3 linked regions of the Danio rerio genome follow. Each later gene encodes a partner of the first gene's protein in a complex. Links are inferred from orthologs where the notes say so. Each region holds a gene or a part of one and is shown on either strand. Other genes may lie near its edges.

Evidence for each region.
Region 2: cnot6l (region 1) and cnot9 share a complex: the UniProt entries of both Homo sapiens proteins name them as parts of the CCR4-NOT complex. The link is inferred for Danio rerio from reciprocal best matches to the Homo sapiens genes CNOT6L and CNOT9.
Region 3: cnot6l (region 1) and cnot11 share a complex: the UniProt entries of both Homo sapiens proteins name them as parts of the CCR4-NOT complex. The link is inferred for Danio rerio from reciprocal best matches to the Homo sapiens genes CNOT6L and CNOT11.

Annotation. Positions count from the first base shown.
Region 1 is NC_133180.1:39,726,933-39,730,696, forward strand, and holds the start of cnot6l (CCR4-NOT transcription complex subunit 6-like), read right to left. Parts: upstream 2,221-3,764; 5' UTR 1,612-2,220; intron 1-1,611. Other genes in the region: mrpl1 (large ribosomal subunit protein uL1m), read left to right, coding at 3,036-3,066, 3,587-3,695. UniProt on the Homo sapiens protein: Has 3'-5' poly(A) exoribonuclease activity for synthetic poly(A) RNA substrate.
Region 2 is NC_133197.1:12,450,002-12,453,665, forward strand, and holds part of cnot9 (CCR4-NOT transcription complex subunit 9), read right to left. Parts: intron 3,129-3,664; coding exon 2,946-3,128; intron 2,225-2,945; coding exon 2,109-2,224; intron 2,018-2,108; coding exon 1,908-2,017; intron 474-1,907; coding exon 364-473; intron 271-363; coding exon 172-270; intron 1-171. UniProt on the Homo sapiens protein: Component of the CCR4-NOT complex which is one of the major cellular mRNA deadenylases and is linked to various cellular processes including bulk mRNA degradation, miRNA-mediated repression, translational repression during translational initiation and general transcription regulation.
Region 3 is NC_133184.1:58,597,364-58,600,630, forward strand, and holds the end of cnot11 (CCR4-NOT transcription complex subunit 11), read left to right. Parts: intron 1-238; coding exon of another isoform or gene 239-283; exon of another isoform or gene 284-1,737; intron 1,738-2,090; coding exon 2,091-2,288; 3' UTR 2,289-2,623; downstream 2,624-3,267. UniProt on the Homo sapiens protein: Component of the CCR4-NOT complex which is one of the major cellular mRNA deadenylases and is linked to various cellular processes including bulk mRNA degradation, miRNA-mediated repression, translational repression during translational initiation and general transcription regulation.

The sequences.
Region 1 (3,764 bases):
CAAGAGCTTTTAAATGCCTTATTTGCCGTGTATACAGAAAAAAAAACACACATGCGCCACCCTGTAATCATTTGGTTGCAGCTGTTACATACAGACCAGAACATACTGCCAACTCTCTAAGCCGTCTGGGTAGAACATATCCTACTTCTGCTCGTCAATGTTTTCTTACATGCAGAACTTCAGGGTGATTTCATTTAAAATTAACTTTGAACTAGCTGTCATTTCATATTGTTTCATTTTGTATCAGTCACTAGACTACAGTAATGCACAGCAATAATGAGACCCCCAAAATAACAATGCCAGTGACTCGCGACCCCCAATATCTTCTGAGGTGGTTATCAATACAGAAACCTTGCATGCAATGGTGCACACACACCAATAGACCCAAGTCTATTCTTTGTTGCATTTTTTATGTATGACAGTGCTGTAAATGTGGCAGAAAGTTTAACCTGGTGCTATAAAATTAATCTGCTGCATCTGACGCCATTGCTGTGTCTTTAATATAATGTAATTACACCAGGGGTCGCGATCCAATAGAACTATAAACTAAGATAGTAACTATTTACAGTACTATATAGTAACTATAAACGCCTATTTTTTTCTTTTCAGTAGGTTGTAGATAAAATATGGTAATTCTTATTGTTTAGTAACGATAAATAGACTTGAAAATCACCAGACGACCCCCATTCATTGTCTCGCGACCCCCACTTTGAGAACCACTGCTGTACAGTAGACATGTGTGATTTAATATATTGATATAACCAGCATGCATGATATTGACAAGTCAAAATACAGAATAATAATTTATTATTTAACCTCTGACTTACTCTCAAGCGTTTTGAGATCCGTGTATTGGCATTTGCTTCATCACAACACACCAAATGTTTGAAGACTTAAGAAGGCATTTATTTTTAAATAATTACATCCGAGATATTGATTGAAAATGTTCTGATTTTTTATAGGCCTGTTGCTGTACATTCATAATAAGGCTTCATCTGTTAACATTAGTTAATGAAACCAAACTGATGATGAAAACTAATTTTAAGGCATTTATTAATCTTAGATGATTTTGATACATTAATGTTTAGTAACTATTAATTTTAGATTTTTTAAATCAATTTTAATTTTAGGAATTTTAAATCTTGATTGTAATTAATGCATTATTACCACTTAATAATGAGACCATAATGTAAAGCTGACCTTTTTTACTTTAATAATATAGGTCCTGTTAGAGCAATACACAACTTTTTATCATTTATTACACCTGCTAAAGTGGTCTAATCCTTTTGTATGTTATGGCTATACCATCTTTATACTATTGTGATAAAAGTTTCAGCAGTTATGAAATAATAAAATCTGATACAGTAATGTGTACTACATTTATTGTGTATTACGTGTGCACTTATGTTTTCTGTTCACTGTTGGGTGTGTTTTTGTAAATTCTGCTATCTGCAACTGTCACTAAACCGAAGTGTTCATAAAAGTTGTCAGGCTGAACATTGTGGTGTGTAATATGCAAATGAGCCCTGGCAGCTGAGGCTTTACGTAACCCTCATTTAAAGTTACTAAGTAACTTCTATGAATAAAACAAACACAATGTCTGAACTTTACCTTCTTGCACGTGCTGTTAAAACTCGTCCTCGAAGTGTCGTGGCGTGTTTCGCATTACAGCGAGTCACCACAGTTGTCAGCTACTCAAATAGCGGGCTTTGTTATGTAAGGCTATTATTAGCTGTTCTTGCCTGCGCAGTGAAGGCAAAAAGTTTTGATCTCTTAAACATGGGTGATTTAGATGAAATAAGTTTAGCTGGCGAGCTGAGCTGACAAGCAGAACATGACAAGCAGGAGCAGGTCTGGCCATGTCACCCGCTCCAGCTCAGACGGTCCTCGGCATCTCCAAATACGGTCATGTGTAAATCAGCACAAACGATGAGGCGCGCAGTAGGTTGAAACACTGTTCTCTCGTGTTTATTAAGTTACAGTTCACACACATTATTGTCTCAGCTGATCTTCAGAAGGCAGAGCTGGAGACGTCAGGCGTTTTTGACACTCAACGATATAAGCAACGCAAAACACCACTCCGAAATGCAGTTGGTCAGTTCTTACCTGCATTCGGGAGGTGGGAGAGGAGCTGCTGGTGTGTGATTTAATCAGAGACATACAGACAAACTGTGACCGATCCTCATCCTGAGAGTCGGGCAGGAGGAAGGACAACAGTCTGAGCTTCCGCTCCGGTCCACGCTCCCCTACAACTAGGGATAGGTGGTCGACTCATTTTGACGAATCGGTTCTTTCGAACGAACAGTTCAATAAACATATTTGATTATATATTGATATTATTTTCTTTAAAATATAAAAAACAAGATTACCTTGAGTTGTAAATACTATAATATGTACACTATAATACACCTTTCTATAATGTGATTTGAAAACACTATATATTTACTATGCATAGACTATATATTTATTTTTCATATTCTCCTAGATATACATTTTTACACATAATAAAAGGCTATTAATTTAGTAATCGCCAATATCCTATTCAAGTCGTAGGCTCTGAGTTTGCCTTAAACATTTTTTTATTTTGCTATCGGACAGTCCTGAAAGCTGGTGGTCGGTTCAGTGTATTTGGTGACTCGTTAAGTTCGGTTCAATGGTTCAATCGAGTCATTGAAAAGATCCGACTTAAAAGATTCATGAAATTCTCTAGTGGTTGTGAACACTGCTCTTGTGATTTAAGTTTTCTTTGTACGCTTACTAAAACACACGAAATATTTGTATTTATTAATTAAATGACCACAAATTGTACATTTTTGCAGTTTCTATATTTAACGCGCAACTTTAAGATATTTCATGCAAGGTTGCTCAAATACTTAGTTTAAACAAGTTATATAGTTTAAACTAAACATAACATTTTTCTAACTTGAATTTTTTTTTTACTAAACCATCTTATTGATATTTCTGAGTTGGAACGATTAAACAGAGGTTCAGGGTTTCAGACGGGAAATTTAAGTGTAACACACAAATTTATCAACATGGCTGCCCCCGCGAGGAGTGTTTTAAGAGGTCAGTTTTAATCATTGCAAAGAATTTTACTTATAATCTCTTAATGTCAGTGTATTTTCCCACGTTATTAACACGTGGAATCTGTGCTTATTTTTTTCAGCCTACGAATAAAATACATTGTTGCGTCGTTTATGTATAAAAGCTATCAAATGGATTACGATCTCTTATAGTCGTGCTTTTATGAATTAAGTCTGTCTGTATAAAGCATAAACTATACTCACACGATTGAAATATCAAATAGGACTTATAGACAAAAAACAGCCATCTGCCAATTTGTGTATTTATATTTTTGCTTAAGTTGCTCTTTGTAACTACATTACTAGTAAGTTAGAGTTGATATTTAAAATTAAAATAATCTAATTTAATACGGGTTTTTTATCAATCTACATAAGAAGCATTAAAAAATATTATTTAAGTAACTGATGGCAGTGTCTTAAGGTGACTGGTTAGTTAAAAACGATCATTGATATGTCCTTTAAGCCAGTTATCTTATTTCTACAATAATTGTGTGTCTTAACAGTATTACCCAGATGTCAGAGTCTGTTGTTCACAAATAGAGCTCCTTCTGTCTCCTGCAACTCACTGACTGCACACCGGCAACAGTCTGCCAGGTCCTACGCTGCTACAAAGTGAGTTCAGTTTAAACTTGTAAATGTTGAGACACTTGACAAACTTTGAAACTATTCAAAGAAGAATAA
Region 2 (3,664 bases), on another chromosome or scaffold:
AATGTCAGCCCGGAAATGAAAGTCAACAATATTTCCATATAATAATAATAATAATAAATAATCGCGCACACACATTTCATGGCTTATAACGAAAAGACAAATGATTTCAGAACCCAAAAATGAATATGTCTAACATGTTAATAATACTCCTGAACATTAATAGTTAATTACCAGTATCATGGCTACATGTGAAAAGCGTTCGTAGGTCTGGCAGATGTAGGCAAGCCCCGTATCATCCAAGAGGATCTTCTGCAGGATAAACGTGGCCACCTGAAGGAAGAAAAGAGGAAATACACATCAAATGCATCTGAATAATGCACGTACACTCATAACTTGTCAAGTTATGTCATGTAATGAGATTACCGTTTTGGAGAGCTCGCTGCCGGACTCCATTATGCGCAGACAGAGAGGAATTATTTCTGTGGTTAACAGAAAGTTGATGACTTCCTGCTCGTCTGTTTTCACCAGTGCGCCTATAAGACAAACGCATCTCTGGCTTATTTATCAGGCTTACACAATTACATCCCAAAAAATTATTCAATACAGGATTTAGAAGAAACACATTTATAAAAGTAAATGCAAATCAAATATACTAAATAAATCAATTAATGAATAAAAAACTAGGTCAATAACGTGGTTACTAATCACCTGACATATTCAATAAAACAAAAATATGATGCATTGATAAAACTTTTTTTTAAATATACCTTTTTTATTACTTGTGAATGGTAAATTCATATATGAAAGTAAATCTGTTTTACTTATTTATTTAATTTTTTAGCATATTCATCAAAAATCGAATAATGAAATATATTTAAATTGAAAAAAATCAAATGTACTAAATAAAACATACACATTCAAAAATTTACTCAAACTGATTGCACTAATTGTATTTTTGTTTCGTCTGCTACAAAGTATATATATTTTTTAACGAATGGAAAATTCATATTAATTTTTTGGCAAATTTACGTCATTATATAAATATATTAAATTTGTATGTATAAAAAGTATTTTCACCATTTTCACTAATGCTCCTATAAGATGAATACATTTCAGTTCAGTCTTACTTTCATTTTCATCCAAAAACTTAAATATAGATACAGAAATGTCACAAATTGAAACTGCAAAACCACTAAACAAAATAAAAAAAATCAATATATAGATACAAATGCCCTTCCATATTGAAAATATAATTCAAACTGCTTAATTGTATTTTTGTATCGCCTAATGCAAAATACTGTTTTTACTACTTTTATCTTAATTATATTACATATAGTTTATTATATGTATTTCATATTTTTTTATTTTATGTTTTTACCAAATATTAAAGTATTTGGCAATTTACATAATATTATATATCCAGTGCTCAGCATATATACCCCAAACAAATCTCTCATTTAAATGAATATTTTCTATAGGAAGCTTTACAATATTACATTTGTGCATATACATTAGATTAGTGAGTACTGAATCCAAATCTGGAGCTAATCTAATAAAGTGAAACTTACAATAATGGTTCAGAAATTAGTAGCCCAAATTTATATGTTAGAAAATATTATACAAATTAATATACAAAATATATACAATTTTGTTGAAATGTTCTAGTTTGTTATGTTTTTTTTTTGCAATATTTTGCATGAATTTATAAGTAATCTTTCCATTTCTAAAGATGTTATGTGACTAAAATATTATTTTGATAAAACATATCTGTACAATAAATCTGTTTTGTTCAAATGCACTAATATATATTACCAATATTCACTGAGAAATGGATAAAAATATTCATTTTTAAAATGGGCTGTACTCATTTATGCTGAGCACTGTATATATACACACAATATTTTTATAGCTCTTCCAAACAATGATAACATTTCAGTTCAATCTTACTTATATATATTTTTTCTTACCGATGACGCCCAGACTGGTGAGCCGAAGGTACTCGAAGGGCCTGGTTTTACTGACCGTGTGCAGGAACGGGTAGAGAAATAAAGGGATGTGAGCTGCCAGAAAAGCAGAACTGAGGACGAGAAAGAAATCGGAGGATCAGTCAATGTGGCGAATCATTAAAGAGAGCGTGTCGTTTTCTGTGTCTATAAGAAGTGTGTTACCGTGTCTCTACATGTGACGCCACACACTGCAGCAGTGCTAAGGCATTACACACTCGATTAGACTGATGTGCCGTCAGTGTCGGGGGGTTTATGGATGGGTAGATGTTAACAATTTCCTGTAAAAAAAAAAAAAATTAATTATTAATCTCAATTTAGTTAACTTTGCTCTATTTTTTTCTACCTTCTCAAATGAATTCAAACTTTGAACTTGTTTTGATTACAATAAAAGCCTTTGCTATTATTGTTATTTATTACTATTCAATATAAATTCTAATAGTATCTGAATATCTGAAGAACTACTTTAGTGTCAAATGTCAGAAAAGAGCGTTTACAAAAAGTTTTAATTTTCAAAGTGCAGAAAAAAAAACTACTTAAACCCTAAATTTTATTAAAATTCTTTCAAAAAGGGACATATTTGTAACTTATACAGTTATTATCACTCCATTCCATAATTTTTCAAATATCTGAAATAATTCATGTTTTACTAAACAATTGTTTGTCAATTTATTGCTTTAAAATTCATTTTAAATGTCATTTTCATCAAAAAGATTAATCAAAATTGTGTACATTGAATAAAAACATTGAACAAAAAAACCTACATTTACAAATCCCTCTTAATATTACCTAAAATAATTTTGTAATTAATTTTTACTTATTGTATTATTAATTGCATAATGAATTAATTAACCAGATATATATTAAAAAAACATACAGTTATGCCACTTAATATTTATTTATATGTAAAATAATAATAATAATTACACAATTATTCAATTCAATTAATATTTCTTTAAATCAAAAAGAATTGTGTCTAGAATGAAAGAAACTGAAGCAGACCTGCAGTAGAGCTGCTATGGTCCCGCAGGAGTGCCAGAGCATTGGGGCCAGGTCAGTCACAGACTCTCTCTTCTTGCTGAGCTCCAGCAGGGCGTTCTCTCGTGTTTCTGGACTGGACAACTCATTGATCCACTGGTAGATCTTCTCCCGGTCCACCTGCGCCAGACCCGCTGTGCTTACAGTCTGTGAGAGTGAGAGAGCACTTCTTTAGTCATCATATATAAAGTTGAAGACAGATTTATTAGCCCACCATTGATTTTTTTGTTTTGTTCTTTTTTTTTTTAAATATTTCCCAAATTATGTTTAACAGAGCAAAGACATTTTTAAAGTATGTCTGATAATATTTTTTTCTTCAGGAGAAAGTCTGATTTGTTTTATTTCGGCTAGAATAAAAGCAGTTTTTAATTTTTTAAACACCAATTTAAGGACAAAATTATTAGCCCCTTTGAGCTGTATATTTTTTTCAATAGTCTACAGAACAAACCATCATTATTCAATAACTTGCCTAATTACCCTAACCTGCCTAGTCAACCTAATTAACCTAGTTAAGCATTTAAATGCCACTTTAAGCTGTATAGAAGTGTCTTGAAAATATGTAGTAAAATATTATTCACTGTCATCATGGCAAAGATAAAAAAAAATCAGTTATTAGAAATGAATTATTAAAACTATTATGTTTAGAAATGTGTTAAAAACATCTTTTCTCCGTTATAAAGAAA
Region 3 (3,267 bases), on another chromosome or scaffold:
GTACCACCAAAATGAGCAGCATTGAAATACAGTAGCGCAGTAGGTACAGTAAAGCAGCTACAACTCTGCACAGTTAAAAAACGTGGCAGATTACCTCAGAAATATAGGCTATATGTCATACATGGCATAATATATACATCATTTTTGATCAATTTTGTAATGTGTGTAGCATGTACATGACATATTTCATTCCTCCGCGTACCACTAGAAGAAAGCCTGCGTACCACACGTACCACAGTTTGAGAACCACTGTTCTAAAATTATTATTGATTTGATTGATTAATTGTTGATTATTATTGATTATTAATTTAAATAATAATGATTCTGTTCATCACGTACACGTAAACAAAATGTTAAATTGTTAAATACTTATTACAATTTTAAATAACTGCTTTCTTACTGTATGTAGTTTCAAATGAAATTATTACCCCATTCATTATTGCATTTATTACTATTACCATTAATAATAATAATTAGGGGTGTAACGATACACTCAGCTCACGATACGATGTGTATCACAATATAATGTTCACGATTCGATATGTATCACGATATAATGTTCACGATTCGATATGTATCACGATATTTGGAATAAAAATTGAAAATTAAACTGAAATGCAAATTTTACCAAGTAAACTATTTTTATGTATTTCTTTTGTTTCAACTTGTTAAACTGAACCTTCTTTAAGAAAATAAATGAAACAGGCCTGTCTCTGGAAAATAAAACAATTAAAAAACTTCTTAAAAAATATTATTGAAATGACAGAGACAAAATTAAGGAACAATTTAAGTAAAGGTGCAAAAAAAATAAGCTTTCTATTCAATTGAATTTAACAGTAAGAGCTTAAGGCTTTACTTGGTCACTTTCGTTTTTTGTGTGTGCAATGAAAATCCACATTTCCAGGTATTAATTCATATTTAATTAAATTCATTTAGAGATATCTCTAATTACAATTGTGACTAATCAAAACTCATTTAGAGATATCTGAAAATATTTTTCAATGGAGGAATATGACTAGTCATAATATATTTGCAGATATCTCCAATCTGATTTCGTACTAGTACAATTGTAATTGCAGATATCTCTAATTGTCATTCTGACTAGTCGAATTATAATTATGACTAGTCAAAATATAATTAGAGATATCTCTAAATATATTTATGGATAGTCAGAACAAAGGTTTAAATGCTAAAACTGCTTGCCATACGCGCGCGTCTATCAGTCCGCCCTCTGTAGTAACTCACGGTCAGCTCACGTCATGTGTGATTTTGCGGCGGGAACATTATATGAAGACAGAATGATATTTTAGGGTGAATTGTACCTTATAAATACAGTATGTGACTCTTTCAACACCATTAGGAGGTATCCCTGTCGCTGTGCAAAGTATGTAAATCACTGTGAAGACTTTAAAACTTAGGATGTTTGACCCAGTATGCGTGTCAAAAAGCGGACGAGTCTAAAGCAATGACTGTACAACCGAAATGTTGCCAGACGTCTGATTTTGAGAGGATGGGCCATCCTCTATTTCAACTCCACTCATCTTGGTCTGCTAACATTACTGCTGCTGCAATCTGAACTCACGTGCGACAGCAGGTGGAACGTAGCTCACGTGCAAACAGCTCAACTAATAAGAGAAAACGGACGTCATATCGTAATCTAATCGTCATAACGCCACCATGCATATCGAGACATTTTTGCATCGCAATAAATCGTACAACGATAAATCGTTACACCCCTAATAATAATAATAATAATAATATTATAATAATAACAGTAATAATGATTAATATCAGAGTGACTTGTGAAGGATCATGTGACTCTGAAGACTAGCTAAAAAATCATCATTAAATCACTGGAATATATGATTAAATTAAATGATAAACCACTGTTGAGCACTTCTTTATTTTATTATGCAATAACATTTCACTATTTTACCATCTGTTCTGTATTATTGATTAAATAAATGCCAAACTTTAGACCAGTAGTGTATGTGTGTGTGTGCATATGTATATGTGTGCATATGTGTGCATGTATATGAGTATGTGTGTGTGCGCGTGTCTGAATATTGTTGTGCTTGTGTGTCCTGCAGAACCGTCTGGTGCGTCTGGTCTGTGTGTTCCTGCAGTCTCTGATCCGCAATAAGATCATCAACGTTCAGGATCTGTTCATCGAGGTTCAGGCCTTCTGCATCGAGTTCAGCCGCATCCGTGAGGCCGCAGGGCTGTTCCGGCTCCTCAAGACACTCGACAACGGAGAGACGCCGGCCGAGGGCAAGACCAGCAAATGATGGAGCGCTTCCTGAACACACACACCGCTGAACTGATCTGCTTTATGCTTTTTATTTATGTGCAGGAGTCGTGCAGAAACAGCCTGACTGTGCTAAATCTCCATGAAGACGAGCATTCACTGATGACTGAGGTATGATGATGACGACTCCTGTAGTCATGGCTCATCACTGACTCAGCGTTTTCATATTCGCTCAACCAAAACTCTGCAGATTCAGTATTTGGGAATATGGCTTTCAGTAACTCTGAGAGTGTCTGAGCTGAATCCTTTATTAACGGCGCTCAGTAACTCCATTTCATTTGTGTATATTTTCTCAATAAACAACGTTTCAAAGCAGCTCTTCAGAACATCTCTGAGAATGATTGGTGGAATTTCAGCCACATTTACAGGATATACATTATTTATTTTATATATATATATATATTTGTGGTGTAACGGATCACGTATCTCATGGTAGGGCTGCTCGATTTTGAAAAAAATCATAATCACGATTATTTTAAACGATTATCAGTTGAAGTGAAAATTATTAGCGCTCCTGGGAATTTAGTTTTTTTAAATAACTATTTCCCAAATTATGTTAAACAGAGCAAGGAATTTTAACAGTATTTCCTCTAATATTTTTTTTCTTATGGAGAAAGGCTTATTTTTTTATTTTAGCTTGAAAAAAAGCAGGTTTAAATATTTTGAAACCCATTTTAAGGTCAATATTATTAGCCCCCTTAAGCAATATATGTTTGATTGTCTGCAGAAGAATCTACTGTTATACAATGACTTGTCTCATTACTCTGATTAAGCCTTTGAACTGCACTTTAATCTGAATGCTTGTATTCTAAAAAACATCTAGTAAAATGTTATGCACTGTCATCACAGCAAAGATAAAACAAATCAGTAATTAGACATGAGATATCAAAACTATTGTGTTTAGAAATAAGTAAAAAAAAACTTCTTTCCATTAAACAGAAATTGAAGGAAAAGGGTTG